Tamandua tetradactyla: one gene and its partners. The protein of the gene in region 1 interacts with the protein of each later gene in a pairwise test. Links are inferred from orthologs where the notes say so. Each region holds a gene or a part of one and is shown on either strand. Other genes may lie near its edges.

Region 1 (10,750 bases):
TCTGTAATCAACTACTGATCTTGGAAGTGGTTCTTTCTTTGCCTTTTCTTCCTGAACAACCTCTCTGCCTGTCTTTGGGCTCCCACCTCACCTAAACAAGTGTTCCATGACGTAGGTGTAGTTGGGGATGCTGCTTCTGGGTAGATAACAGGAAGCAAAGAGGATGACAGCATTGAGGCCATCACCATGGTAACCTGAGGTGCATACAGGGAAAATTCATTATCAACAAAGAGCCAAGTGCATTTATACAGGTTGAGGGAGTCTTGAGGTCTCTGGAAATTATAGGAAGGATTTTGAACCCAATAACTGAGTTCTCAGTTTTGCATTTTTTTCCAAGAATCCACAGTTCTTACCCCTCTACTTATGCCAGCCAATACCTCCATGAGATAGGACTTTCTTATAGGGTTCAATGACAGTCATGTCCACTCGCTGCTCCTGCTGTCCTGTTCGGAATACCCTCCAACGGCGACCATCTTCTCCAGCCACATCCCACATACATCCCCGGCCCAGGCTTTCAGCTGCCTCACTGGCCCCCATGCTCTCTGTTCGGGGCAGCTCATCTAAAAGAGAAGGATGGGGAAAGATCAACAAGGCAGAATTCCTACCTTACATATTTTTAATATTTCCCAGATTCTTAGAGTTTACTACTCCAACCTTTTATTCTTCAACTTTTTCCTTGACTCTTCATGCCTAATTTGTCCAATCAACTCAATCCCTTCCTGGTTCCTCCCCACTGTATCTCATTCATTACCCCTGCCTTCTCATTAAATTATGGCTCTGGGATGATCTTGCACTATGGCAGGTCTATGGCCATTGCTAGTACAGTTTCTTCTAGACTCTCTTTCTTTACATGCTTTTCCCTAGATGAGCTAATCCATTCCCATGTCTTTAATTACCACTAGTAAGGTAAAGATTCCAAAATCTGCCCTCTAACCCAGACTTCTTTCCTAACTCCAGACCCATATCCCTAAATGCCTAGAGTGGACATTGTCACTGTCATCTCCAATTCACCAGGCCCAAAGTGGAATTCAGACACATTCTCTTCTCCCCCTCCCCCATGGTTCCTGTCTACATGAATTATCCCATCATTCATCTAGCTACCTGAAAGAGAAAATTGTGTGTCATCTGAGACTCTTCTCTGTCAGCCCTAAAACTAACTGGACCCTACATCCTTTTCCACCTGCCTCCATACTTTTCTTTCATCATCTTCTCCACTACTATGGTCCTGGTTCATGTTATTAGTGTTCTCACCAAGACTTCATACTAGCTTCCTAACTGGTGTCCATGCTTCCAGTCTTGAGCTCCTTCACTCCACTCCCTACACCACTGCCAGAGCAGGCTGTCTTTTCTCCCCTACTATATATCCACCATTCTGCCCAATCTTTCAATAGCAATTGAAAGAGCTTCCTCATTAAAAAAAATAGTTGCATAGTAGTAAATTGTATAGGTGTACAATTACAGAGTTAATACTGTACTGATGGAACTTCAGGTTGTTTCCAATTTTTTCAGAGCCATCAAATTTGATCATGTTACTCCCTTTACGATTCCCCATTGCTTCTAGGCAAAATCTTGGCATGACAGTAAGGGCCTCCGTGAATTGACCCTTACCTACTATTCCCAGCATTTTCTTTTGTCATTGTTTCTTCATCTCCACAGCTGAATAGCCATGCTATACTCAAGTTGCTTCTTCTACCTAGAATGCACTCTCTCCAACTACCTAATGGACATCAACTTTAGCTTTCAAAAATTCATCTCAATAATGAAAACCTTGTGTCTGATGCTCCTTTTATCTACCTTATCAACAGACGAGAAAAACATATGGAATAAAAATAAATAATAGGGGGAACAAATGTTAAAATAAATTGAGTGTGAAATGCTAGTGATCAATGAAAGGGAGGGGTAAGGGGTATGGTATGTATAAATTTTTTTTCTGTTTTCATTTTATTTCTTTTTCTGAATAGATGTAAATGTTCCAAGAAATGATCATGATGATGAATATGCAACTATGTGATGATATTGTGAATTACTGATTATATATGTAGAACGGAATAATCATATGTTAGAAATGTTTGTGTTTCTTTCTTGTCATATTTTTAAAAAATTTTTAAAATTAATTTAAAAATCAAAAAAAATTCATCTAAAGCAGGAGTGGGCCACAGTGGCTCAGTATCAGAGTTCTTGCTTGCCATGCTGGAGACCCGGGTTCAATTCCCGGTGCCTGCCATGCAAAAAAAAATCATCTCAGAATCACCTCTCCGCAGACCCGACCTTTTCCTTCTCTATGCCTGCGATGTAACTTATATACATGTACATCATAACCCTTAATTGCACCCATTTCCTGAGGGTAGGGACTATCTTATTCATCTTATAACCCCAGTCCTAGCTCAGTGATAGCATGAAACATCGTTCAATAAAGCTTTCCTCCAAAAATAGAGGATTCCATCTTCTACTAACTATTCTTACATTCAATCTGTAAGCTCTACCTTTCCATTCTGAGGAAATTGATTTTGTGGCCTTACCTCATGGTCCTCACCTTGCTAGTTCTATTTTCAGTCCCATTAAATCCATCCTGGGCTTCTTTAACACTGGATTCTACTACTACTACTACTGGCTTCTACTATTACTAACAAACCCCAAGTTTGTTTCCCACCTTCCCATTCAAATTCATGTCCACTGTCCAACTGCTCCGAGTCTGAAGGCGTCTCCAATTCATCTATCTCCAGGTCAGAACTGCCATCAGGAGAGGAAGGTGCAGAGTGAATGGGAGAAGTTTCATTATCTCCTGTCCCCTCAGTCAGATTCAGCTGCAACTCTGGGGCAGAAAGACGCTTACGCATGGGGCGATGGCCACACAAGGCTAAAGTGCTGGGAGTACCTGGGGTTAAAGGAGGGGAGAAAAAAATAGAAAGATGCATGTGTGTTGCGGGGAGGAGACCTGATTATAATTCCTATATATGAAATAATATGGGGTCAACTCTGGAGAAGGATGGACGCAGGACACTCGGGAAAGCAGAAGTAGAATTGACAAGGGACAGCCCTTTGCTAGACTAGAATTGGGAATTTGAGGCCTACTCTCTACTTCACCTACCTGCCTGTGAGCCTCCTTTGGAGTCTTCAGGATCTTCAGAAGGGCCAGCCTCCTCCGGAAGCAATCTAGAGAGGAAGTGATTAAAAGGGGCAGTGATGTGGGTTGAAGGCATCCAACCAGGTGTCAATTTATCAATTCTCTCTACCTGCTATGATTTTATTGCCTCTTTCTTTTTTCCCTTTCTTTTCTTCAAGTCCTAATTCACCATCCCTGCCCTCCATTTGTGACCAATCCCCCCTTCTCCCAACCTCCTTCGCACTTTCTCACCGGGGGAATTCTTCATCCTGCCATTCTTCCTTCAACTCCAGCTCCCCAAGTCTCAAGGCTGCTCCTAGTTCTGCTGCTTCTGTGTTCTCCCTGGCCCTAAGATAGTCCCCCAAGAGAGGATTTTCATGAGACGATAATCTAGGCAGTGTCTTAAGGAACTGGTAGAAAAGACTGTATTGAAGAATTAAGGAACAGAGCAGAGGAAAGGCCTTAAAAAGAACTCAGATCTCTTATCTCCTAGACAAATGTTTCTCCCAACTTCACCATTTGCTGGAAGATTACTTGTACTGTTGGGTTTAGGAACGGTGGAAGAATGCACTACGAAGCTAATCATTTTTATTTCTAAGGCAATTGCTCTACCTGCCAAGTAGAGGGCAGAGGTGTTCCGCATTATAAAGGGTTGGAACCTAGAGAGATCCGCCCAGTGGTCAAGGGACAAAGTTGCACCTAGTCAGGCCTGCCTTCCCTCCACCATGCTGGGGAGTGGCTAGAGAAACCATGGCCTAGGTGGAAGGGTGGGGGGAGGTAGGGGGAAGAGAGATGAGCTGGGATGGGGAACCTGGACCTCATCTCATTTCTGGGTTAGCTTTCCTGATGGTCATTCTGGAGGGAGGGGGATGGAAAACAAAGATCACGGGTAGATTCATCAGATAAAATATTGAAACTTCCTTTCTTTTTTTGGCCAGGGAATTATTCTGGAATTCCATTTCTCATTTCCCATACCACACGAATACTTCCTACTTAAAGCCACTCTAAGCTGTTCTCTGCAAATTAATTGTTACAGTTTCATCTACTCCAGGAACCCTGAGATCTGACCTATAAGAGTGGGACAGTGGGAAAGTCCCTCAGACTATTCACTCCCCATTTCCAAAAAAGTAAGCCAATACTCACCCAAAATCTAGTGCGTTTTCCTCTGCTTCTTGTATAGTTCCCATCTTCTAAGTCTTCCTGCCTCCTTCTGTTAAACACTTGGAATTGTTGGGGAGCTGGAGTGGCCAGCTCCCCAACACTTCTTTACCCTTTTTCTGTCTCAGCTGCTGTTGCTATTGCCTCCAAGGAGGAGGGAGGTGTGAAAGGGAAGTAAACTCATCTTCAAACAGGTTTTGCTACCTCTTCTCCCAAGGAGCAGGTTTGTCCAAAAGAAAAACCCTGCCTCCCGTGTGGGGGCGGGTTTTGGGGAGAAGAGTGCATTTCCTAGGGTGACTAGTCTTGGGTGAGTCCAGGAAGCTAATTTGTTCTTCTTTCCAGACCCCTTATAACCTTCTGGAAGCAACTTTGTTTAAAAAGGAACTGTAGTAGCCATTTAGGTTATAAGACTATGTTGGGCCTACTTTTTGAGCATAAACAGAATTGGGAAGAGAGAAGTTTGTTATAAGGAGAGTTCTGGTAGAAAAACAAGCTAAAGGAAAGGCTGAGAATGAGGGAAGTTGGAAGCCTGTGCTGCTCCTTATTCCCAAAAAAGTGTCATCAGAAAGAAGACAGTAAGTATAACAGGAAGAAGGGACATGAATCTTTAGGAGGCTAAAACAATTATCATAGGGAAAGACCCAGTTATAATTATAAAAAGAGACAGTAAGACTCCAAACAGGAAAAGAATATTTAATACTTTAACAAAATGTAAAATTAAGTACCCAAGTTACAAAACATAAATTCCTTTGGTTCAGCGATCACACTACTATTTTTACCTTCCAAATAGCTACAGACATTGTCCCCTCTAAGTGGCAGACTGCCTCCCTCGTACTGGAAGACGTCATATCAAAACCATCACATATCTCACTGTTCAGTGAAGTTGTTGGCAGCCTACATGGAACAGAGCAGTGGGTTGGGGGTGGGGGTCGGTCCCAAGAAAAAAGGGAGACTCTCCACATGCAGAACCAAGAGTCAGCGGGAGGGAGCTCTTTGCTGGACAACTATGGTATGAATCATCCCCTTGTACATGCTACACTAGATTGAGTCCTTCGGTACGATCCCACATAAACAGACAATCGAGTGACCCTGAGCATTCCCAGGGAAAAGAGAACAAAAATTCAGAGAAGCAGAGGAGACAAAGGATGGCAGGTAAGAGGCAGATCACAGAATATCAGAGAACATCTAATTCAAACCATTAGTTTTACAGACAGGGTAACTGAGACCCAGAGAAGTGAAGTGTCTTACCAAACTACACACAGTTCGTGGCAGTCAGTATTAGAATCCAGTTAGTTAGTTCATGCTTCCTTTTAATATGAGCAGGAAGAGGAAGAGATGGATAAGAAAGTGATAATTCTGCCAAGGCAGGGGATGGAACCAGGGCTCTCACTCTGGTTCTGCTGTCTTTTGGAGGAGTGCCTTTGAGGCCCAAAGGCCTTCCTGGGTGCCTCCTGAACTCTCAAGAACAGGGAGTCTTCAAGGTCTCTTCAGGGCCTCTGTGGCTCTGGGACAGAGGGTGTCAAAGAACCTCACAGTCAGGCCACCCGATCAGGACAGAAGAAAGCCTCCAATCTGCTCCCAAACAAGACCTGCAATAGTCACAATAAACTCAGAATGGAAAGTCAGCCATCTCTGAATCAAGCTGTATTACCAACAGAGGGTAGAAAGAAGAGTCACGGAAATGGAAATCTGCTAAAGGCTGAACTGTGGAGCAAGTTTCCAAAGCACACTCTACAATGCATCTAATTTTAAGTAGATATTCAATAAATACTTGAATAAAGTGAATAAAGAATACATGGAGACAATCAAAGAATCCATGGTTCTATGACAGATATTAGCTCTGTTCAAGATCCTTGCCAAGGGCACTTTTGGAGTACATATTCTTTTTGTCCTACTTTCTTGGGACTGAAGATGTATTGCATTGCACCCTGGCAAATTAAATAGAGGAAAGTCAGTGTAGATCTAAAGAATAAAATTAAATAATAGCATTTTTATGATTGGTCAATTGGGGAGAAAAGCTAGAAAACCATTCTTCACTGAAAGCAACTGCTTTCCTTCACTTCTTTCTACTTCCAGGTTTATGAGAACAATACACCAGATCCTGGAGCAATGAGGACAGAACTGCTGAAATTTCCAAACATCTCAAAACATGCATTTGGGATTGGTCAAGCAGCCTCTCCCACTATCCCTTCCCCTCCCAAGAGTCACTTCTTTGACAGGGAGGCAGTGGTAGACTGTGACAGTGAGATCTGGCTGCACTTCTCAAAGATGGCCTCAGCTAAGAGCTTAGGCAGTCCCTGATCCAGAGGGCACTCGTCCACCAAACTGTTCATGGGTGTGGGGGGCAGCAGAGGGTCCTCCTCATCTTGACTTATTCCAGGGATCAGGGAGTTACTTGCCCTGTCCATTTCCTTGTCCAGCTGCTCCCTAGACACACCCACTGTCTCAGGCTGTCCTGAAGGGATCTTCATGGAGTCAAAATATGCTGATAGGGCTTCCTGGAGCAGAGGTAGAAGTTTCTTCCGAGAGACCTGGGTGTTGCCTTGATGATAGGCTTGGAGGTTAGGGTGGGTGCTTGGGGCTGGGGTCAGGTTTAGGGAGGGAGAGTAGGAGTGTTCCAGGACTCGGCATATCTGAGGAGGAGACAAGAATGGAGGTATGATGTATCAGTTGGAGTAGCAAAGAACTGAGGCTTCTAAATTAGAGGTTTCTCCTTATAGAGGAGAAAAGACTTTTTAAATTAAGTCATCCAAAGTTTACTTTTATTGCTTGCAACACAAGGAAGTTCAGCTAACATCCATTGTGTTTTACAAATATTTGCAATCATATATTTCATTTTATTGATGAGTAAACCAAAGCTCAGAGAGACCAAGTACCTTAAGCAAATCACGTAGGTAACAGCAGAATCTGAACCAGAACTCAGGTCCCCCAGCAGCTAATCTAGTGTTGCGTCCAAGTATATTCCTTACTTAAAAACTTGAGCCCTATGCTTAACTGGGAAGAGATTATCTCTCTCCTGAGGTCAGGGGAAGAACTAAGGCAGAAAGAAGGAATGAATAAACAAAAGTCAGGGTGGGAGATATAAAATATTGAGACTTTACCTGGCACAGTGCCATGTCTGGCCATTTACAGATATTATCTCATTTATTCCTCACAAAAAGTTTATAATATTGGCATTTCTATTACCCTCATTTATAGGTGGGGAAATTGAAAACTGAGGCTTAAGGAGGTTAGGTACCTTGCCTAATATCATGGGAATATGAAGCAAAGCTGAAAGTCGAAACTAGGTTTGCACTAAAGCCTGAATTCTACATCACTATATAATACTACCCCTAACACAGGATGAAGAGAGGGAATGGAAGAGCAGCCCATGAAAAGGGGACTCCTATTTCCAAAGACAGAAACAGCCTGGGCAATGGTGGAGTCATCTGATATTCTACCTAGCTTCCAAACAGCAACACAGAAGGCCCTAGATTCAGGAAGGTAGGAAGAGGTACTTCTTGTAGCCAAAGCTCCCTTTCTTTTATGATTAGGAATAGCCACCATTTACTGGGTGCTTACTGTGTGTCCAGCAATGTACTTTACATATATTATGTTTAATTACAGTATTAGACCATTGAAGTAGGTGCCATGATGCCATTTACATATGAGGAAATAGACTTAGAGAGGTTAACTGATTTGCCTTGGTCCAAAGAGCCAGTAAGTAGCAAAACCTAGGACAGAAAATCAAGTCCACCTGCATTTTAAAAATAATACTTCTTTCCATGGTGTTAAACTACCTTCCACTGAATGTATTATATTTGCTTCCTGGGGGGGGAAGACAAAGGAAAAGAGCAGTGGAAAAGGAAAAGGACAGACATACATTTTTTTTTTTTCTTTTTTTGACATGGGCAGGCTCCGGGAACTGAACCCGGGTCTCTGGTATGGCTGGTGAGAACTCTACCTGCTGAGCCACCGTGGCCTGCAGACATACAGTTTAAGAGTAAAAAGGATTATCCAGTTGCCTTCACCAAGATTCACCAATCTCATATAACCCAAGCAAACCAAAGAGTTTCCTAGACTGCCTTAAGTCCACTTTTAAATTCTTCTGGGTTTTTCAGTAGTTAAAAGAAGGGGGAGGAAGTGGGGAAAGGTGGCCAAACTGAAGATCAGGAAAGAAATCAAACCTGCTCCCAGATCACAAAGTTCTCACTATATAGAGTAATTAATCCCTGCATAGTAAGGAACAGAAAAGGTTTCCCGTGTGTTTCCAATTTTTAAGGCAATAGGATAAAAAGAAAGGAATTAATTGATTTATGATTAAACCAAGAATTGAATTTCAACCCCAGATTTATAACATTTGCATCTAACTAGATTTCAAGTTCCTTCTAAGTAAGCATCCTTCTAAAACACATTTAGTCTAAATGTGTCTCTAATTCTCTTTGACTCTCCCTTTCTCAGTAACAGTCTGAGTAAGCCTATTCACATATACAGAAGATGGAAAAAAGGGGAGGGGACCTTCGCAAAATAGGACAAGGGACCTCTGTGTAAATACAACAACTAAGAAGAAGAACTTAGAGCACAGAGCAACCCTTACAGGCAGAGCTCTGCAGGACCCTCAACTGGAGAAGAGACAGACTCACCACCATTCGGAGCTCCACATGGGGACAGAAAATAGCCAACTGCCGCACCGGCTCATCGTGCATGTTGAAAAAGATAGTCATGGCAATCAGGACATCATAGCTGTGTGCCTGGCAGAAAGCATGGAGATCAGCAATGAGGCCAGCCCTCTGCAGAAAGGTCTGAAAGAGAAGAAATGGAAAAGAGGGATAAAGACTACAGCTGGATCATCCTTGTTATCATCAACAAAAAGTTCTTATGGTTTCTTTGCATGTTAACCCGGGACTTGTGCTCCATAAAAGAGGGACATATGGGCTAGGAGACTATGTGGTAGAATGAGGAAAGGCTTTGGATTCAGACAGAATTGGTGTGAAGATCAGTTCTTTGACTACCTGGCTATATGATCAAGGAGTCATGTTATCCCCTAAACTGCAGTTTCTTCATCTATAAACTAAGGATAAAATACTTATAAAATATGATTGCTTTAAGAATTAAAAAATGGTAATGTATGTAAAGTACAAGACTTTACTGCTTTTGCAATCAAACAGCAAATCTTTGCCTTGTAGGTATTTATTCTAAAACAGAACAATGGTACATACAAATAAGAACAGACATATGACAACTGTATTTTTGACTCTTCCTTTTTTGCCAATTTATATGCTTTACTCTTCTCCAAAATCTAGTACAGTATTTATTTCCTCCAATGAACTAGGAAACTCATCTCTGGTTCGCACTCTCAAAACCTATCCTGCAGGTAGAAGCAGCTTGCTGACAGCTAAAGTAGTGTAAGAAACATCAAGTTGAAGTGGCCTTAAAAGATTACCTGCTTTTGGGGTTAAAGTAATTCAGAACACAGGGGTAAGGAAGACATTGTTTATATTTTAGAATCACACATACTCTTTGAGACCAAAGGAAGAAAGGTTTATTTGGTCTGGAACCAAAATTATCTATAGTGCATAATCTAACCTATGTGTATAGCTCATTTGAACAACTGAAACACAGGGAGCCCAAAATAAGAAGGAGATTGTTTAATCCTGTATAGCTTAATGGAATGCCTAGCTACATCCTAGAGTACATTAAGCAGATAATCAAAAAGTATTGGCAAAGTCCCTTGAGGGGTGGGAGAAAAAATATGGAACTATTAAACTTTACATCAGGGAACCCCCAGATACTATGTCAAACTTTAGGGACACCCAATCAACAGACCATGCCCTTGATCTTGAGGCTTACTCTTGTGAAGCTTACATAGGCAGTGGAGAAGCTTAGCCTACCTATAAGTATACCTAAGTGTTACTTTTGGAGGACCTCTTGTTGCTCAGATGTGGCCTCATTCTCTCTAAATTTTCACTTTGCAAGTGAAATCATTGCCCTCCCCCCTACATGGGATATGACATCTAGGGGTAAAAATCTCCCTTGAGGCATGGGAGACAACTCCCAGAATAGATTTAGTCCTGGCACCGTGGGATCAACAATGCCATCACAACCAAAAGGAAGAAAAGAAGTGTAACTAATAAGGTTTCAGTGGCAGAGAGAGTTCAAATAGAGTCAAGAGGCTACTCTGGAGGTTGCTCTTACGCAAGCTTCAGTTAGACCTTGCTACCTATCATAACCTGCCAACCCCCAACCAGGACCATTCCAGCCAATCCTAAAGGCTATTATGTAAGATATTATGTAATATCCTAGAAAATTACATAAGGTTCTATAAGGGTACTAGTGTACCCTTCCATGTGTACTAGTGTAACTTCCCAGAAACCTACAACCTCCAGATGGGTGGACCAAATAAGTCCTGAAACCTAGAGGGCCCAGCCTCTCGAGACCATCAGCTAGTTCCATCGCCCTACCCCATATTATTGACACCCCCTTCCAACATAAAAAAGGTAGAATGGCCAT
Region 2 (10,750 bases), on another chromosome or scaffold:
GACCAGAAAGGTCCATGGCTCAACGGGGGCAGCAGCCCGGTGGGTGGTGCAGTCGGGCAGGTGGCCTGGCAGGTGGCTGACCCTGCCTCTGTCCTGCAGAGGCCCTGCTGCGTTTCTGCGTCACGTGGAACACCAACTCGCGTCACTGCCATGAAGCCCAGGCTGTCCTGGGCGTGCTCCTGCGGTACGAGGCCCCTGAGGAGCTGCTGGCCTACGAGGGCGTGCGGACCGCACTGGAGGCCCTGCTGCCCTACACCGGTGCGTGAGGCGGGCCCAGGGCGGGGGCAGGCTGCTGGGCTCTGTGGATCCCTGACCCACCTCTGTTGTCCCTTTTCTCGCAGAGCGGCACTTCCAGCGGCTCAGCCGGACGCTGCAGGCAGCCTCCTTCCTGGACTTCCTGTGGCACAACATGAAGCTGCCCACCCTCCCCACAGCACCCCCAGCCCTCTGAAACACCAGTAAACTGGTACATTTTTCTATCTGGGCTCCATGTATCTGGGCTTGGCTTTCCCCAGGTCCGGGCCACAGCCTTGGCCAACCAGAGGGGGCCTTGGGGCCTGAGGGTCTCCCATGTGCCAGCCCGATCCCCACCCCCACGCCCAGCTGAGATCCAGCCCTGGCTAGGGTACAGCAAGACCAGGTTTGGATCATTTGAACGACCTTTATTTGTGGAACAGGGGAAACACTACATTGCAGCCTCTTGGCACTCCTAGCAGAGAGCTCCCAGCCCTGGGCTTGGACAGCCGCATCCTCATCCCTTGGGGTCTGGATCCTCCAGCTTTTTCTAGGCCCCACAAAGCTAGAGACCTTACAGCAGGAGGTGCCTGGGGGGGCCTCCACCCACCCTCAGGGGGATCCCTGGTGCCCTGGGTCCTGCCCCAACGCCCTCTGCGTGATGGTGCAGCAGCGGCTCTGGATGGCACTATGTGTGGGCCGGGCCGGTACAGCCGGGGGAGGGCTCGTGGTCAGGGGCACCTCTGGGGAGCCGTGGGCCTCATCCACCCTGCCCTCCCCGCTGTGGAGCCCCGGCCAGTCCACGAGCATACCCAGGCCATCGGGCCGTAGCAGCACCGCGGGGAGAAGACCCACTCGGCCGCTGGACCTGCGGGGGGTGGGGGGAAGGGCGGAGCCTGGTCAGATTTCAGTCCCGTGCCTGGCTCGGTGTGGCCCAGCCCCAAGCCCCACCCCTGCACACCTGCACAGCCACCAGCCACGGTCTGACGTTTCCAGCACATGCACGCGCACCCCGGCGGGCACTGACAACTCGTCCACACGGCCACCTTCATAGGCGCGGGAGACGCAGAAATGCAGCCCTGTGGGTGGGGCCTTGGGGGTCACCGTGGGGCTGGCGCCAGGACTGCGCTGAAGCCCTGGGGTTCTCCCTCACTACTGGTGCCAAGAGGACACTCCAGGGCCCTGATGCACCCAGCTCATTTTCTTCCCCCCTCCCCTCCTGGTGTGCCCTCCTGCCCACCCTTTCTGCACACTGCCCACGGGGGAATGGCGGTCTCATACCACTGGCTCCCGGGGGCAGGGGTGCCTCTTGTCCCTGGCCTGGGAGCACCTCCTCCAGATAGGGAGCTGGAAACCAGGCCGTCTACTTGTCGTCGTTCTCCACCAGCCACCAGCCTGTGCGCAGAACAGGGTGTGCCCAGATTCCCAGACCGCTGGGGGCCTGAGGGCAAAAGGCGACTCCCCTGGACCCCTGCCCTGCACCTGAGGGGTGTCGCAGCAGCACGTCCACGGCCTCCTGGGCCCGCGTGTGGAAGGGCCGGCCCCCTGTGTCCTGGGCGTGGAAGGGCTGCAGACAGCACAGCCTCTGGGCCTCCACGCTCCGAATGGCGAGGTTGCCCGTGGGGCGGGCTGGGGGCTCCTTGGGGGCAGGCAGGATCACCAGGCTGGGAAGGCAGCCAGCGCGGGTGAGCGGTGGGGACCAGCCCGCACCCCCCAAGTCCGCCCCACCTCCTGATTTTTGCTCGGTGCTGACTGGTCCTCCGAAGGCTGCTGGGGGTGGGGGCGGCTCATATACCTGCCCGGGAGCAGCATGGGCTCCAGGTCCAGGGGTTGCGGCGAGAAGAAGCCAAGGAGCGCCGGGCTCCGGGCCACACGCTCCTGCGAGGCCAGCAGGCTCCGGGAATAGGCCTCCAGGAGACACAGGCGCTCCAGGCCGCGGCCCGTGCGCCCCCCGCGCACCACCAGTGGCGCATCTGCAGGACGGCAGGACAGACCGTGGGCCCCACCCCCAACTCCCCCCGCTGCTGCCCGCCCCCTCCAGTTACCCGGCCTGACCGCGAAGCTTGGGCAGAACGCGGTCAGATCTCCGTAGCAGGCCCGCCTCCACCGGGAAGGTCTCCTTAAGGGTCTTCTGGAGGGTCGAGAAGCGAGGTGGGGGGGCTCGGTCTGGGAGACCACGGGGGCGCAAAGGGAGGCCGCTTGGGCAGCCGGCCCGCCCTGTCGGGGTCACCCCAGGTCACTCACGTGGAATCTTCTAAACTCGTCCAGGCTTCTGCGCACGAAACTGTCGCTGCCATCCGACCAGCGCACGGAGAAGGCAAATGTCTGCGAAGGGAAAAGTTGGGGCGCTTCCCGGGGCTGGGCTGGGGACGTCTGCCCTCCTGGTTAGGGCTGGTGGGGACCCCATCGGGTACCTGGAGGCGCCCGGTTTGCACCAGGGCCGCGGCGCACACGGACACTGGATGGCGAGGGCCGGCCAGTGCTGCGGCTTCCTCGGCGGCCAGCGTCCTGCCACCTCCCTACCAGTGGGGTCACCTGAACACTGACCCGGAATTCCCCACCGATCCCCAAGCTGGCGAGCAGGCCCCTCCCTAGCCAGGAGCCCCTGGGTCCTTTGCACAGTTCTTGCTGCCCCACCCCACCCCGAGAGCTGGGGCACAGCAGAGCTGGAGGCGGGAGAGGAGAAGCTGCCCTGCCCTGAAGGTGTGTGACACTGTCCCCAGGAAGGGCGGGGCCTGAGGCCCTGGAGGGGGAGAAGAAGGGCTGGTGGCCCCTCAAAGAGCCAGGGCCAGCTCTGCCCTGCCCCTCCCGCCCTGCACTCCCTGGGGAGCCTCCAGTCCCGGGCCCCTCCGCTCTCCTTGAATTCACTTGCGGGTGCACTAGGGCCTAAAGTGCCTGATGGGCTTTCAATCCTCACACTGACTCCTACGAGAATGTATTAAATGGATTATTAATGTAAGTTTTTGCTGTGCTCCTGAAGTGAGGGAGGAGTGGACCCTACAGGCTCACCCCAGAAGTTCCCTTGAGCTGAGACTTGTGGCAGAAGGAAGAGAGCACATCTCTGCCATCACTGACACTTGGGGGATGAGGGTGGTGCCAGCCTGGGCTGCTGTGGACGCTGCCCCTGCATTTGTGATGTACCACAATTTACTGCAGGCCTCAGGGGGCAGGAGGGATCCATTCCCTACCAGCTGCCACCATGGGGGGAGGCCATGGAATCTCTTGGCTGAGGCCCGTCTGCGTGCCCCAGCTCTCAGGGGCCCTTTCCTTACAGGGAAAATTTCTGGAACTTGGTGGTTCTTCCTGGTGCTGGGTGTCGGGACTCCCCCACCCCAGGCACTTCTGGGAGGGGCCAGCCTCTGGGGCCTACTTCCAGAACTGCCCTGGCCTCCTCAAAGGGCCTTTGTGTGTCTCTCGGAGCAGCAGCTCTCTGAAGCCCTCACACCTGCCCTGTCTTGGTCCAGGTGGCAAACAGGCCTGACCTGCAGTCAACCCTCAGTCCAACTGTCATTGGGAAGGCCATGATGAGGCCCAGGATAGATCCACTCCGCCCCCAGCTCCCCCGGAAGAGAGAGGAGAGAAGCCAGGGGGTGGGGAGCTGGTCACCTAGAGGGATGCTGAGGCCTGCCCCACCCCAAGTACAGCCCCCTGCCCCACACCCCAGCAGCCATGTACCCTGTCCACTTTATTTCCTCCCGCACAGCAACAGCCTCTACTCCCGAGTATCTCACTGCCAACCTTGCCCCATACAGTTTTTCATTTGGCCTCCGAAAACAAAAATCAGATCCTGTCAGGGTGGATCTGCTCAAATCCGTCCGGTACTTTCCGAATGCCCTCAGGATCCATGCCCAGTTCCACGTGGCCACCTTGCTCCCACGTGGTCGACCCTGCCGGGTCCTGGACCTCCCCTCCCTTCACCCTCCCCTTTCGGCCCTGTGTGACTCTGCGCCTCTACCTAAGGGTCACCTCCCATAGGGAGGCCTCCCGGATTTACCCCAGCCCCCTCATGGCCCTCACCGCTGTCTGTAAATGAACACATTTGTGACCCCTCGTGTATTTTCTGTCTTGTTCTCTGGACTAGGAGGAGAAGTCAGAGACGGGGCCTTGTTCCCGCTGAGCCCCGAGCCTACACAGATAGTTGTGGACTGAGTGGAGGAGCGGGTGGCAGCTGAGGTACCTCCGAGGGCTCCTGGAGGCCTTTAACCCTTCTCGGGGCCGCAGGATCCCACCCAACACACGCCGCGCCTCTCGCGCGGGCGCCGCCCCGCGTTGCCAGGCGCCCGTTGCCATGGCGCTGGTCTCTAGGCGGAGCCGCGGACCCAGGGGCTCTGCGAGCGCACCTCCGGTTGTGCGGTCACGGCACCGCCCTGCGCTGCCAGGCGTCCGTTGCCATGGCGCCGGGCTGCCGGCCACAGGGCGCGCCCGCCGGGTGAGAGCGCAGAACCTGGCTGCGGGCACACCGGACAGTAGGAGCGGAGCGATGGGGGCGTCGCGGGCCGCCACGCGGACTTCTTCTGGGCCTCAGCCAGAGTCTACGACGCGGCAGCGCCGCGGCTTCCACAACACGCTGCTCTTCTACTGGAGAAAGCGGGAGCCGCGCCATGGGCGACGCAAGGCGGGCTCGGCCCGGAAATCGAAGCCCCGGGGCGCGAGCAGGGGCCGAACCGCCGGCACCACCGCAGCTCGGGCGGTCGCCGCAGCCTCCGCCTCCGCCAGCGCGAGGGCCCGTCCCACCGCCCCGCCTCCGAGACCGGCCCCGGCTCCTAGCTCCGCCTCCACCCCGGGCCCCAGCTCCGCCTCCACCCCAGGGCGCAGCTCCGCCTCCAACCCGGGGCGCAGCTCCGCCTCCACTCAGGACCCCGCCCCCGACCCCGCCCCCAACGAGGACCCAGCCTCCGCGCCTGCGCCTGCGCCCCCGCCCCCGCCTGCACCCCAGCCCCCGGCTGCGCCCGCGACCCCGCCCGCGTCCCCGCCCGCGCCCGCGCCCGCGCCGCGCGCTCCCGGCTCCTGTGGCCGCGCCCTGGCGGCGGCGCGCGCGCTTGCCTGGAGACCGAAGTGGAGGCCTATTTGGAGGCCGACCTGGCCCGGCAACCACTGCGCGGGCAAGATGGCGGCGCCCGACGAGCGCGGGCGCTTCGGCCGCGGAAGCCTATTTTCTTTCTTACCCGGCGGTGCTCGCTCTGAGGTGCTGGACGATCTAGCGACCGATGCGCGAGGCCGGGGTGCGGGACGGAGAGAGGGCGCCTCCTCGGCCCCACCGCCAGTTGCGGCGCCAGCCTCCGAGTCTCAGGTCGCTGAGGACCTCGCCCGGAGGCGGGCCTGCCGGGCCTGCGTGGACTTCAAGACGTGGATGCGGACACAGCAGAAGGTGCAGATGCCCCGGGACGCCACTTGCCTTGCGAGGACCGCGAGGCCTGCGCAACCTCCCATCCCCGCCGCCCGCACGCTCTCCTCGGCCTCTGCTCCGGGCTCGCCTGCTTCAGGCCCCAGCCGCCCTCCTCAGCCCCGCGCACCTTCTCAGGTGCCCGGGGCAGGCTTCCCAAAGGCCCAGGATGAGCGGCCCCACAAGTCTCTTGCTTGACAGTCTTCTGTCGCCTAGAGTTGGCTACTCCTAAGCCTTGCCACCCAACATAGGCCCTGCCTCTTTCAGCTGTACGTGGGCCAGATGGGCTGCAGGGCTCCTACCCTGAGAATGGGGCCTCCAGCTGGGGCCGGAAAAGGGGTAGCTATGTGGGGTTCTGGTTGGGGGGAGATTGAACTGACCCTTGGTTGGCTTCCTTCAGCAGCGGGGGACCAAGTTTAGAGAGGATTGTCCCCAGGACCGCGAGGAACTGGGCCGCCACAGCTGGGCTGTCCTCCACACCCTGGCTGCCTACTACCCGGACCTTCCCACCCCAGAACAGCAGCAAGACATGGCCCAGTTCATACATTTATTTACCAAGTTTTATCCATGTGATGAGTGTGCTGAAGACATAAGGAAGAGGTGAGTTATGGCCGCACTACGTGTGGGTGACACAGTATTGTAAGGGGGAGCTTGGGTCTGAGGCCCCTAGCTGATGTCACAGAAGAGGTGCCTAGAAATGTCTGGAGAGTGACAAAGGTGCCACTGAGCTGGGACCATGAGCAGAGCAGGGAATGGGTCATCTGGGCCCCCCTCAAAGACCAAGCTGCCTGGGTCTGTGGCTGGGCCCTGCTTGCTGTGGCTACAGAGCCTTCCCAAGGGCTGGCCCTGCTTAGCACTGAAGGAGACTGGTCAGAGTAAGGAGGGGTCCACTTGCCTCAACATCTGGAGCAGGATGGCTGCTTTCAAGACTTTAGAGACCCACTGTTTTTGCTCCCAAGACGCATCTTTTCCTCGTTGAGGAAACCAAGAGCCATTATCAGGTGGACACAGGTGTTTCTGCCCTTCCCAGGGCCGACATATGGGGCAGGGCAGCCCTTACTGTTGGAAGTCTGGGCAGGAGAACAAGGCTCTCCCTGCGCTGAGGCTCTAGGGCCTCGGGTGCCAAGAAACCAGTCTGGTTTGCAGTTATGCCAGCATGCTGGTCCCACCTCTTCCACACTGCCTGGGGCCAGAGATTTCCTGTTAAAGGTTGTAAAGTTGCTGGGAGTGCCTGCAACTCTTTAATATTTGCCCGGGCTCCTTGACAATGTTTGCCTGCTCCCTGGGTGGTTTTTTGGCCAGCCTTGGGAGTCCCTGAAGGACCAGGACACTGCAGGGTCAACCCTGTTCTGGGATTACCCCGTCCCTTAGAGGACATTCCAGGTGTAGTTCTCAGCAGCTCCCCTGTCTTAGGAGCTGTCAAGGGGGCTGGCTAGGGGCAGAGACAGTGGGGCCACCGGCCTCCCCATACCATGCTCCATGTGCTTTGCCCCTCTCCCCCGCAGGATATACAGGAACCAGCCGGACACAAGCACGCGGGCGTGCTTCACGCAGTGGCTGTGCCGCCTGCACAACGAGGTGAACCGCAAGCTGGGCAAGCCTGACTTCGACTGCTCGCAGGTGGATGAGCGCTGGCGTGATGGCTGGAAGGATGGCTCCTGCGACTAGAGGGCAGCCGGTGGGCATGGGGATGGGCGCTCATTAAAGTGCGTCGGAGCCTGAGTATGTCCTGTGTGAATCAGGTCGTCCCCAGGATGCTGCCCGTGGGCCTTTCCCCCCTCAGGTGTGGAGTAGAAGTAGAGATGCCCACAGCAGACACCCCAATGGCCTCCTCAGCCAAGGCCATGTTGCCTCACAGCCCTCTGGGGCTACACTGCAGGTGAATGGGACGGGAAGGGCCAAGGCCACCACTCGCCATTGAGGACATGGCCTTCTGCCACCTCCACCCCCGGCACCCAGCTCCCCACAGGAAAGGAAGGGGCTGTAGCCGGATGATGGCCCTTCCCCAAGACCTCAGTTACTGTGAAGCTGTGAGAGCTGCAGCGCCTATGGCCACAGCAACTGTGCTTGCACCTCAGGAATGAGACCTGGGCTTGAGTCTCCTGCTCTGCTCAGCCCTATGGGGGTGGGGTTGTCTGAGGATCTGGTGTCCTCACAGCGCAGGTGGCACCTGTCCATCACACAGGTCCCCCGAGCAGTACTGGGACTGCCAGCAGGGGCTCACGTCCTCAGTTTGAAACCAAAATAAAATGCTGGAGAGGTGCCTGTGAACCTGAATTGTGTGTTCTCTGCTGGACTTGCGAGGAGTTGGGGGGGCCTGACTGCTTTTCGGCTGGGGACAGCAAGGAGGCCCGAGTGGCTGGAGCAGCCTGTGGTAAGGTCAGAGGGGAGGGGAGGCCTATGGCGGAGGATATGGCTTTGATTCCCAGTGTGAGGCGCAGCCCCTGTGGGCTTGGGGTGAAGGAATGGCAGGATCTGACCTTTGAAAGTCCCCTGTGGCCACTGCGCTGGGCCAAGGTCAGTGAGGAAGCTACAGCCACCTTTCAGCAGAGAGGGAGGCTCCCTCTGGGGGCAAGCAAAGGTTGGATGATAAATATATTTGAGATTTTCAGAGTCATGAGAATTTGGGGCCTGAAAAAGGAGCCCATAAAGTCTCTGTAAGGAGGTTTGGGGGTGAACGGGGCCCAGAGGTGCAACCCCCAGCCACCTGGATCTGCTCAGCCCTCTTGACTCCCAGCCAGAAAGGCCAATGACTGCATTCCCTGCCCCTGTGTTCTTAAGAGCTCCACCTCCTCCCCAGTGTGTCTCTGGTAGAGATGCCAACCTTTGGTGTGACCTCACCTGGCCTGGGAGCTGCAGGCCTCCACCTGACTGACAGATCAGAGCGCCCCGTGGCCCCAAGCAGAGGGGACACGAGACTTCCCGTTGGCTTCCAGAGCTGTAGACAGCTCCAACCCACTGCTTGTAATTGCTTTCCCTCCCAGCCTGCCTCACTTCCTTTCCCCCTAACTTCAACTTCCCCAAGGTTTTACCCCCCAATAAAAGCACACAAACTTTGCATCAGGTTCTATTTCCAAGGCTTCCAGGCTGAGACAGGCTTAGGGTTCTGGATAGATCTGATATTGGAGAGCCCAAGCAGGGGGAACAGGAGGAGGGGTCTCAGAGGCCGAGGACCCACAGCTCAAAGGGAACTGTGATGGGACAGCTGGGGAGAGGGTTTATTTTTCAAGATAGAAGCAGGTATACCTTATTTGGGTGCCGATGCCAAAATGATCAAGTAAAAGATGGCGAATGGGAAAGATGGGATTTGGTCAGTGTAACAACCTAGAAGATTGGTGGATGTGCTGGGCAGCACCCCTGGCCTCATGACACCCAGCTAGGCCCCTGCGGAGGTGAGCAAGCAGAGCCTGTGGGTCCCCGGGGGTGGGGTGCTGTCCTTCCCAGAGGCCTCTTGCACACACATACACACCCCGCTCCTACAAGCTACAGCCCCCCTCAGGTCCCAAAGGGGGAGGGCGCTGTGCACTCAAGTGCTGAAGCCACCCCACTCCCGAGCCAGACCTTCCCACTTCCACCCCCACCCACCCTGCATCTTTGGTTTCCCCTTCCCCCCACCATGGGCTCCTCCCTGGGCCTCGGCCCCCCACTCTCCTCCCCACCCCAACTGCAGCTCTACAGCCTCCTCACACCCAAAGCCAGCCCCTTTTGCCGGCTCCCTTCTGCACAGGACAGGCCCTGCTGTCAGAGGCCCTGGGTTCCAATCCCGGCCTGGGGGTGCTGTGTGCTCACACGGATGGGAAAGGGGTAAGAGGCCTGGCCTCCACCAGGAATCACAGGCTTGGTCCTGGAAATGTTGAGTGGGTGAAGTCACTTCTCATGACCTAAGACAGAAACCCACTAGTGGCTCGGGACCCTGACAGGTGTGCTGGAAGGGACCCCTCACCTGTGGCGCGCGGGGCAGTGTGGAAGGGATTCGGCAGGGACAGGGGACAACGAGGCACCTACTCGACTGAGCTCCCCACCTTTGATGCTTCTCCCCAAACCTCCGCGAAATCAGCGGGACCCACAAATGGGGAGGGGTCAGGGAGACCTGAAAGGATCAGGGGTGCCCCAATGCCCTCCCCCCAGATGTGGGCTCTGCCATGCTCCCCTCCCAGCTTCCCTATCAGCGGGGTCAGGGCCATCTGCTGGGGGGTTCAGCCCCTGCCCTGCCCCGCTGGGGCCCGGGACGCCCCCTCCAAGAGGCAGTGGGTGCGGGGGTGCCCCGAGGATGGGCAGGCCATGGTCAAGCAGGTGATGGGGGGCCTGAGGGCGGGGCGGAGAGGGGAGGAGGACTCTGGCCCCGCGCGTGGATTAGGTGGGGGGAGGCGCAGGCTCGGCCCCGCCCCGCGCGCCCCCGCCGCGGACAGCGCGCGCTCTCGGGAGGCGGCGGCGGCCGCAGCTGTAGCAGCATCGCGGGCAGCCGCGGGCGGTCTCGGACCCGGCCGGCCGGCCGGACGGACGAGAGGACAGAGGGCGGCAGGGGCGCGCGGCCCGGCCCCGCGGGCCATGGAGGGGGCGTCGTTCGGCGCGGGCCGCGCGGGGGTCGCCTTGGACCCCGTGAGCTTCGCGCGGCGGCCCCAGACCCTGCTGCGGGTCGTGTCCTGGGTGAGTGGCCCCCGCCGCGCCCCCGACCCCCGCCCCGACCCTCCTCCTCCCCCGGTCCCTCCCCGGCACGGCCGCAGGTTGGGGTGACGTCACCGGGCTGGGCGCGCCCACCTGCGGGCGGGGGAGGGGCGGGCGGCCTCTGCCCGGGTCCTTGAGAGGTCACCGCCGGCCGCCCCCTCCCCGCGACGCTCCCTTAGGTCGACCTTCCCCAGCTTCCTCAGCCCTCGCTCCGTTTGCGGGTTCTCACGACCTGGAAGCCGGCGCCGGGATGGGGGTGGGACTCGCCAAGGGACTTGGGGGTTCAGCCCCAGCACGGGGTGGGGGGTCTACGGGAACCGAGAGGTTTCAGACAGAGCCCCATACCTACCCCCTACACCTTCCAGGTTCCTGCGGAGGGAGCTGGCCCCTCTCAGGGCCCCCAGGTGCAGCTGTGAGTTGGGGTGGGGCTCTGGGGCTTCTTCTGGGTGGGGCAGCCAGCAGGGGCTC
Region 3 (9,567 bases), on another chromosome or scaffold:
AGACATGGACATATGAAGATGCAGAGCCCAGCAGACGTCGCCATATGTCTTCCCATGGGATGCTAACAAGCCAGAACCCAGAGTTGTGTCCTGGAGGAGCTAAGTGGGGGCCCACAGACACTTAGGAAACTACTGGCACCAGAAGCTGGAAGCAATGGAACTAGGAACAAGGACCAGCAAATGCTGGCCACATGCCTTCCCAGATCACCCTTCCTTGAGTCAAGGTTATCTTTTTCTGGATGCCTTAGTTAGGACATTTTTATGGCCTTAGACATACTGTAATCTTATAACTAAAACAAATTCCCATTTAAAAAGCCATTCTGGCAGCTTTAGCAAACCAATACAAGACCTCCTGAAGGTAGATGGGCAGGTGGCCAGGAGGCACCCTTTCTCTCCTGGGTGGGCCCTGATGCCGCCCTTCCTACCTGGCCCTTACCTGTGTCTAGGGGTTGCCCAGCTCCCAGAGGGCTGTCACTGAGTCTCTCTTATTTGTTCACATTCAGTGCCACCTGGTCCTTGCGACTGCCCCGGAGGCCCCCACGTGGGGGAGCTGGGCTGACCCAGCACTCTCCAAGGCTGCAGCAGCTGGAGGAGGTGGAGGAGGATTGGGGAGGCTCATGGCCCACCCCCAGCCCTGGCTCCACTCTGAGGGTAGCAGGATCTCGAGGGGTACCCAGGCACCAGCCCAGGGCCCGGGCCGGCTTTTTGCCCGCCCAGCCCTGGGTTTGGGAAGGCTTTGTGGACAATGGGGTGGGTGCCTGAGTGCAGGTGGCTGGGGAGCCTGTTTCTGGAAGGCGAGTTGGGATTTTTATTCTGTGAGAGTGGCATGCCAGACCCTCTTCACCACTCTTCCGATGTGGTGACCAGAGTCCCTGAGCCCCTAGAAGCGGCTGCCCTTGTGCCCCAAAAGACAGTCCTTGCCTCCTTCCGTGCTTCTGGAGGTGACTGTTCTTGTCCCCAGCAGGGAATAGGCAGCCAGTGATGCAAAGCCTGCCTGAGGGCCTGCCGCTGGGTGTTCTGCACCCAGCCAGCGTCTCCGGACACCATGGGAAGGTCTCTCCCTGCCCCCCCACCCAGCAGCCTTCACCCACGGGCAGCACCCAGGAAGTAAGTCCTCTGGACCATCCAGGAGGAACACCGGGGCTGCAAAATGACAGAAACCCAAACACACAGGGGGTTGAGCAGAGAGGGGGTTGAGCAGAGAAGGGCTTGCTCTTCTCATCTAACCAGAAGCCAGCACAGCCGGCCCAGCTATAGTGGCATCCGGACACACCTGGCCCCTTCGAGGTCCCCAACCCCATCCTGTCCAGCTCACAGGTGCCCCGGGGCCACTACATCTCCAGGGAAGGGGCAGGGTGGCGCCTCCATCAGCAAAGCAGATGCTGCCCCATGAACCCTCCATTTATGTCAGTGGCCACAGCCTGTCCCATGGCTACAACTGCTAGCCAGGGACTCTGGTGGTGTATCTGTCCTGTCACTTACCACCTAACAGTTCATTATGAGCCCCCCTATGGATGCCGGGTGTCTGTCTGTCTGTCTTTTCTCTTGCCCCCATAACAAGTGACCACAAATTTAGCAACTTAAAACAACACACATTTATCATCTCCGTTTGCGGAGGTCAGAAGTTTCAGGTCTCAGATGGGCCAGGTAGGTGCAGAGCGTCCCGGGGAAGGAAGGAATCTGCTCCCCAGTTTTCTTCAGGCTCTTGGCAGAATTCAGTTCCTTGCAATTGCAAGACTGAGTTCCCCGGCCACCCCACCCCCCCATCTTCAAAGCCAGTGGCTGTATACAGCAAGTTCTTCTATGGCTTTGAGTCTCTCTGTCTCTGGATGGGGAAAAGTCTCTGCTTTTAAAGACGTGTGGGATTTTAGATTGGGGTCCCTCCAGATATTCCAGGATTAATCTCGTTGTTTCAAGGTCCATCACCTTAATCACATCTGCAAAGTCCCTTTTGCCTTGTAACATGTGCACAGGTTTTGGGGACCAGTGTCTAGACTCCTTTAGGGGTCATTCTGTGTACCCCTGAGGTCACAGGCCAGGAGGCTAGCATACAGTCGTGGTACCCCAGCCACCCTGGAGCCTTCTGCCTAGACCTGAACCATTAACCACAAACAGAAATATCATCAATGATGCTGTGGGAAAGGCCCTGAAGGACGTGACTGAGCCAGGGGCTCTGGGTGCTTCCCTAGGGAAGTGGCAGCTACATTGAGGTCTGGAGGACTAGCCAGTCAGAAGAGGAAAAATGTGGCAAAGATCATCCAGGGTGATCGATCATCAGCTCGAGCCAGAAGCCAGGAGTAGGTCACTGAAGGGGGGTGTGCCCAGATTCAGAGAGCAGGGAAGGGAGGCTCAGGCCTGGGGGGCGGGAGGAGGCTGGCAGGGAAGCAGGGTATGGCAACAGTGCTACCACTGCCTGGCCGTTCACACCTCACAACACCCCTGTTTTTTGCAAGGTGGACACAACTGTCACCCCTTAATTACAGATAGGGAAACCAAGGCTCAGAGAGGTTAGTCAAATGTCTGAGCTTGTAAGAGCTGGGCCTGGGAATCGTAGCAGCTGCTGAGATGCCCTTCTAGAAAGACGGTGCTGACTGACCTGTGGATACAGGTCGAAGGAGGGTACATAACAAGACTCCCCTATGCTACAAAAGCAACCTGAAAACCCTGGGGGCTTGCCTGTGTGGGCATCGCAGCCTGCAGACTCCAACTTGCCACCCACTTTGGCAAAGCAGCTACTCGGTCTAGAAACTTCCACTAGCTAGCAGGTGGCAGAGGTGCGGGAGTGGGAAGAACTGATGGTTGGTTAAGAGGACAGGGACATTTCACTGGCAGACGATCAGGTTTAGGAGGGAAAGTCGTCGTGCATTAGGGCTGGGACACATGGAGCTGGCTGCTGAGCCTGGTGGACTGCCCTGGTCTGGAGACAAAACCGAGAGGGCCATGGGTGCCTCCGGGGAAACGGGCTGGGGGCACAGCTAAGACTGCACGACTGGGAGAGCAAAGAGACCTGGCTGAGGGCTCAGCCTAGAGGGACCCAACAGCTCCAATTCAGGCCACATGCATAAAAATGATCTGGGTCAGATTGGACCTGGGACCTCCCACCTGGAGGCTGGGCTGGTGCTGCGACACGCCCATCTGCGCCTGCCATCGTAACCGGAAGGCACCTGCCAGAGCCCAAGGACCATTCTTCCTGGAGCTCTCAGAAGGCCGGGTCATACGCAACGTGCCCCTCCAAGACTTGAGAGAGAGGCCAGTCCCACCCAGGGCAGTGTCCACTCGGGGGCCTTCCCTGAGTGTGCAGGCGCCGCCCTGGGTGCTGCCTCGCCCTCCTGCTGTGTCATAGCTAGCTTTCCTTCATTCATTCTCTGCCTCACTTCCAGGCCGGGCACTGCTGGGTGGGGAGACAAGGCTTCCCAACTGAAGACTTTTCAGTGATGACTCAGGGACCGGGGCTGGGGGCGGGGGAAGAGCCGCGGGGGAGCCCACGCGATCCGGGCGCTGGGCCGTCCCCAGCGCTTCCTGCCCCCCCCCCGAGGACATCCCGGTACCCTCACACCACCGGGAAGGTCAGGGCTGCGGCCCTAGAGGGCCACTCCCCACCTCACGCTCGCACGACCGGAGCACCTGGGATCGGGACGCGGAGCCCGGCGCGCGTAGCGGGCTGAGCGCGGGCCTCGACCCTGCGGCCGTGCGCACCGGAAGGGCAGGGGGCCACCACCAGTCTCCAGGACACGCGCCCTACGGCACGGGGGGGGGCGGTGTGACGTCACGGGGCGGAGCTTCGGCCTCCGTGGGCCTCGCGACAGACGGGGCCGTCACGGGGTGAGGGGCGGAATCGCAGCTGGGCTTCGCGGTGGGCTGGACACCCGCTGGCGGTGACGTCACGGGGCGGTGCGTTGCCGCGGCCTCGCTGAGCGAGCGGGTCAGCCATTGGGCCTCGCAGGACGCGGGACCGCCCTCGGCCGTGACGTCACGGGGCGGAGCCTATCCGGAGGCGGCGCAGGACGGTGGTCACGTAGTTCAGGTTCCCGGGCAGCAGCCGCAGCGCGTGTGGCCTCAGTGAGTCTGTCAGTTCGTCCGTCCGCCCGCCTACCCGCTCGCCATCATGCCCATGTTCGTCGTGAACACCAACGTGCCCCGCGGCTCCGTCCCGGATGGGCTCCTCTCCGAGCTCACCCAGCAGTTGGCGCAGGCCACGGGCAAGCCGGCCCAGGTCGGCGGGGATGGGGTGCGGTGGGGTGCGGGGCGGGGCGTGAGGCTCGGGGGCTGGGGGGTTGCGGTGCGCTCTGGGCGGCGAGGGGGGAGCGGTGCACTCCGGGCCGGCGACGGGGGCGGGGGTGTCCTCGCGCGAGGGCTGACGCCCCTCCCCGCCCCGCAGTACATCGCTGTGCACGTGGTACCGGACCAGCTCATGGCCTTCGGCGGGTCCAGCGAGCCGTGTGCGCTTTGCAGCTTGCACAGCATCGGCAAGATCGGCGGCGAGCAGAACCGCGCCTACAGCAAGCTGCTCTGCAGACTCCTGGCCGAGCGCCTGCACCTCAGCCCCGGCAGGTGCGGAGCGCCCGGGGCTGGGGGGCTGGGGAGGTGAGGGGGTGGGGGGAGCGCGGCCCGCGACGCCTGGGTGGTTGGGTCCCGCCGGGGTCCCCCGGCTGAGCCTGCCCCGCCCCGCGCCCGCGTTCTTCCTGCAGGATCTACATCAACTACTACGACATGAGCGCGGCCAACGTGGGCTGGAACGGCTCCACCTTCGCCTGAGCGCCGGGCCGCCTCCCACCGTGGCCCCCAGCCCCCCACCCCTACCCCCGGTGGGGAGAAATAAACGGTTCAGAGACCACGGCGGCCTCGGGCGTCCTTGGCTTGGGGAGGGATCGCCGCGGGGGGACCCCCTTGGGACGCGGAATGTGGCGCCGAGGCCGGGGCGGGATGGAGTTCCCCCCAGGAGGCCGCGGGGCCGGGTCGGAGCCTGGGCCGGCCAGCCCGAGCCCTCTGCGTCCCCGGAGGCCGTTACCTCCTTGGCGTCCGGCCCTGGGTCACAGCCTTGGGACTGAGGGCGGGAACCGCCAGGGTCACCACGTAGGGTGCCGTGGGTGGGGCGGGGCCGGCCTGGGAGTGGGGGAAGGGGGAAGTGCCAATCTGATTAGCCTGGAGGTGAGGATCTGGGGGTGGGCTACACTCCCCCATCCCACCCCACCCCCGTCTTCCGGCTGGGGAGGGAAAGCCCCCTTGGTCACACTCATTGGTTGGCCTGGCATCTCGGATTCTTGATGGGGAATGTCCCTTTGTTCCTGCCGGGAGGTTGGGGGCGGTCCCCAGGTGTGTTGGTGGGTGGAAATGTGCAGGATGCAGAGTTCCTTGGTTATGCCCAGTCGCCCACCCCTGCCGGTCCCCCAGGCCCCCACCACCTCATGTGGCAAGGCCCTCTCCCCACTTACCCAGGGCAAGGAAGTTCCTGGTTCCTCAAGCCAGATCAGATGCAGGGGTTGGGGAGGGGAAGGGGATACTTTGAACAAACACCACCACCTGGACAAGCGATGGGGGCGGGGTACCTCTACAGCAGGCCATGTTGCTCCCCTCTCCCAGCACCACAAGAAATTGGCCAGCCCTGGGGCCACTAAAGTGATGTGTTAACCCCCACACACACTTCCTGCACCACCGAGCCAGCTGGGAAAAGTCTTTTAAGGCAGCTTGAACTGGGGTGGTGTGCAGCCTGGTCTCTGGACAACCCCCCACCCCAGCTATGCATAGTCCGTTGAGACCCCTAGCTTTTGTCCAGTCCCTGTCCAAGTGAGCACATCCTAGATGGAAGGCAAATTTGAAAACTTCCATGGGCATTTACATGAATCTACTTTTGGAAACAGGCCCTGGGGAAAGCATGGTGGCCGGGCAGATCCTTAGTCTAGAGCCTGTTATTTCTGTTAAGAGTGGAGGTGAGGAGAGCCTGGGGTGGGCACTTGTGCCTTCCCTCCAGCATAGCCCCCCATCATCCTTGCTTCCGGGCTCCATTGGGCAGGGACCTGGGGACGGCCCCTGCACAAGTTAGTTGTCAAGCCAAGGACATGTTGGCTTCCCTGGACCCAAACCTTGCCTCTCTCTTCCGTGGCAGCTGAGGGGGGCCTGCTGTGCTCACCTCAGCCGCTTGGCCACTCGAGTGGTCCCGTGGGGGGCTGCCCGCCCTGGCCAGCTTGCGAATCCGTCTCCCCCCCCCCCCCCAGGTTCACAGGGAGCCCCGTCCTTAGGGGCTACCCCCGTCCTTAGGGGCTACCCCCCTCCGGCCGCCCACTTGCCCAGCCACACCCATTCACCTTGGGCAGCCACAATTCCCTTCTAGGAAAGCAGTGGACAGCGGGAAGAAGTGACTACCCTGCCCTGCAAATGTCCCCGCTGCAACGTGTTCCCAGGGCCCACGCGGTTTTCAGGGGCTTTGGGGAGAGGGACCCTGGCTCGGCCACACGGTTGTCCCCTCTGCTCCTGGGGGGAGCCTCCCGTGCTGAGATGGCCCCTCCCCCAGTCCCAACACAATCTCTTTTCCCTCTGGGCCCCATGCCCTCTTCTATGTGACAAAAGAGCAGGGGCCTCAAGTCCAACTCCCTCATTTCACAGATGAAAAAACTGATGCCCAGGTTCCCTGCTGTGCTGTCCCACCCCCCCAACCCCAGCGGCCCCAGTCAGGGCTACTCTGCTTTTAAGTCAGGGTGCAATACATATGGGGCGGGGGCGGGGATCTGCAGCTGCTGGGTGTCCCCAAGGCAGTGGCTTCCTCCCAAGTCCCCAAGGGCCACCAAGCAACCCTGGTCACCCCCTGCCAGCCCCACTCTGCTTCCTCCAGACAGAGCCTGGGTTCCAACCTCCCCCCTCCCACCCCACATCGACTGCTGGCCTCCCCACCCCTGCCCCCTGGCTGGCAGGGTGGAGGTCAGCCTTCCAAACCCATCTCTGAATGACCCCACCCCCACCCCATGCAAGCCACGTGCCTCTCCCTGTTCCCCAAGTAACAGCGTGTCTCCTGGGGCCCGCCCCCCAGCAGAACAGGGGGCAGCTCTTGTGCATGGGACCCTTGTCACCCACCTGGCCAAGCTGGGGCCCCCAGGCAGTGATCCAAGCCCAGGCCCACGCCCGTCTTCCTGGAAAACCACCCCGAAGCCACTCTTTGTGGGGTGACACACCCACAGGTCCCTGCCCTGTCGGCCCATGCTCTGAGCTGGCGTTTCTCTCCCTGGGTCTCCCCAGCGGCCTGTGGACGTGGGCTGGGGGCTCAGGAGTTGACTGGCAAGCTGGCCTCCCTGGCACCCATTGCCTCACCCACCCCAAGGCACCCACCCCCAGCCTCCCCCAGGACCCCTGCTTCTCCGACTTCCCACAGTGGCCGCCCCCGTTCCCTCTGAGACCCGGAACCCAGCCAGCTTTTCTCAGGTGCTCAGAGCAAGTCCCTGCCATGTTCCCTCTGTGGGCCTCAGTATCCCCCATCTGTGAAATGAAGGGATTCACCAGACGTCCTTCCTACTCCAATACATTGAGTCCAGAACCAAGGCATCTCACATCCTCGGGTGACACCCGAAGGAGGGGACAGAGAGGGCGGGTGTTCCCGTGTCCCCTTTCCCCATCTCCATAATGGGGAGGAAGTCTTTGGCAGGGCTCTGGTTCCCCTGGCTTGGGCCAACCTTGGTGGTTTGGCTAGGGTTTGGCTCTGGGACCGCTCAGGTTGCATGGCCCACAGGGGGTGGTAGGAAGGGGCCCTTGAGGGGAGCGGACCGTGGGGTCTGCAGGGGGACCCCCCACTACTGCCTGGCTCTGGAGTAGAATATCAAAGTCAATCTGGGAGCTGTCAGCTGAGCCCGGGAGCTTAGCTAGTCCCCAGGGCTTTTGGGCAGCTGCCTGTGTCTTCCTGGACTCTGTACCCTAAAGGGGAGCTAAGAGTTGATCCCATAAAACCATGCTTCTCCCCATCAGCAGACCTCACCCGTCTTGTCCCCACTTCCGGCTGAGCAGTGCCCCCCCCCAGGTGGCAGCCCCCCAAACCCTAAGTGGGGATCCAGGCCAGGAAAGCAGTGGCCCAGGTGCAAGATGGGGCCACATGCAAACTCCCCAGAAAGTTGAGCTCCGGCACCCCCAAAGCAGTGGCTTTCAGGTGTTCAGGGCAGACAGAACACACCTCGCTTCCGAGTTTGAAGCCCACGTCAAAAACGAACAAAGATTGCCAGCTTTTGGACATTGGCTGTCCCTCCCACTCCTGGAAGTCTCAGCCCCAACTGGAGACACTCATGTCTAGCCCCCCTAAGAGAGAGGACCCCCCTGCCCCGTGACAGGGATCCAAACCCAAAAGCTGCAAATGAGGAGTCTCCTTCCCCCGGCCCCCCAGTGACCTGGTTTTCTACATACCTAATATTATCCATTTCTCTTGGAAAAAAATTTGATGGGCTTATCCATTTTGAATAGGTCCTATATTTACAAGACTCCAATTTCAAAGGTGTCCCAAGAAGTGTCCCTCACACCACCCTTCCAAAAAGCAAACCCCAAATTTGTCTTTGAATCCTTAGCAATTATGTGTATTCCCTGTCCCCCTGCTTTTTTTTTTTTTTTTTTTTTCATGACCGGTAGCTTCTTCCATTAGAATTCTGCACCTCGGTTTTTCTTTACTTAAAAATCTCTATCTAAAGAGCCTTCAGACAGGCCAGGATCTCTTTAACCAGCCCCCTCCCCCCCCCCGCCCCCAATCTATGTACATTTAGGTTGTTTCCAGCCTTCAGCTCTTCGCTCTGTTATATTGAGTTTCTCATGTGTGTAAATGAATCTGTAGGGTGAGCTCCCAGGAGTGGTATTGCTTGGTCAAAAGTGATGCCACTTTGCATGGTCTCAGCAGGGCTCAGAGGCTGCCCCAGCCCAAGTTTGACTTTCGCCTGTCTGGTTGGATAAAAATATCTATCAAGCCAGAAGGGTTTAATTTGAGGGGGAGCTTCTTTTTGTCTGGGGCATGGCCATTTCATTTTCCTTTTGTAATAAAATCCTCAAGCCTACTTTTCCAGTGGAGTGTTTTGTTGTTTTTTAAGAGCTTTTTCCATGTGAGAGAAAATAGCCCTTTGCCCTGAGTTGTGTTTTCCCCAGTCTGTCATTTGGCTTCTGACTTTGTGGGTGTGCCATTGAGACACTTATCACAAATTGCTCTTCAGGATTCATGCTTTTCTTAGGCTTTGCCCATTCAGTGATTATTGAACTGCTACTCATGGTTTCTTCCAGGACCTAATATGATTTTGTTTTTGCGTGTATATTTTTGCTCTGTCTGGAATTTACCCAGACGGTATTAGGTATCAGGTGGGTCCCCCTTTTTATTTTAGATGCTACCCATTCATTCTCTCACCATCGGTAAATCGTTCATCTTATACCCCACTGATGAACTGCCACTTTTATCCCAAATTATATCCCATTTTATCCCAAATGTATCCCTTTTGTACTTGGGTCTCCTTCTGACCACCTGGGTCTCATTTGTCACAGGGTCTGCCCCGGCACCTTGCTTCCTGCACCCTCTTCTTTGAGGTCCCTGCCTCTTGGCCTTCTCCTGATCCCACCCCAGAC

What was found.
Region 2: the proteins of BNIPL (region 1) and GFER interact in a two-hybrid assay, tested with the Homo sapiens proteins (2 studies listed by BioGRID and IntAct). The link is inferred for Tamandua tetradactyla from reciprocal best matches to the Homo sapiens genes BNIPL and GFER.
Region 3: the proteins of BNIPL (region 1) and MIF interact in a two-hybrid assay, tested with the Homo sapiens proteins (2 studies listed by BioGRID and IntAct). The link is inferred for Tamandua tetradactyla from reciprocal best matches to the Homo sapiens genes BNIPL and MIF.

The regions. Positions count from the first base shown.
Region 1 is NC_135330.1:4,498,315-4,509,064, forward strand, and holds the start of BNIPL (bcl-2/adenovirus E1B 19 kDa-interacting protein 2-like protein), read right to left. Parts: upstream 4,817-10,750; 5' UTR 4,291-4,816; coding exon 4,247-4,290; intron 3,452-4,246; coding exon 3,356-3,451; intron 3,154-3,355; coding exon 3,089-3,153; intron 2,876-3,088; coding exon 2,651-2,875; intron 561-2,650; coding exon 378-560; intron 195-377; coding exon 92-194; intron 1-91. Other genes in the region: exopolyphosphatase PRUNE1, read right to left, coding at 6,466-6,894, 8,884-9,042. UniProt on the Homo sapiens protein: May be a bridge molecule between BCL2 and ARHGAP1/CDC42 in promoting cell death.
Region 2 is NC_135349.1:55,540,298-55,551,047, reverse strand, and holds GFER (FAD-linked sulfhydryl oxidase ALR), read left to right. Parts: upstream 1-5,265; 5' UTR 5,266-5,341; coding exon 5,342-5,602; intron 5,603-6,017; coding exon 6,018-6,217; intron 6,218-7,122; coding exon 7,123-7,285; 3' UTR 7,286-7,339; downstream 7,340-10,750. Other genes in the region: TBL3 (transducin beta-like protein 3), read left to right, coding at 1-10, 100-258, 342-451; SYNGR3 (synaptogyrin-3), read left to right, coding at 10,166-10,264.
Region 3 is NC_135331.1:25,740,992-25,750,558, reverse strand, and holds MIF (macrophage migration inhibitory factor), read left to right. Parts: upstream 1-3,968; 5' UTR 3,969-4,105; coding exon 4,106-4,213; intron 4,214-4,378; coding exon 4,379-4,551; intron 4,552-4,688; coding exon 4,689-4,755; 3' UTR 4,756-4,834; downstream 4,835-9,567.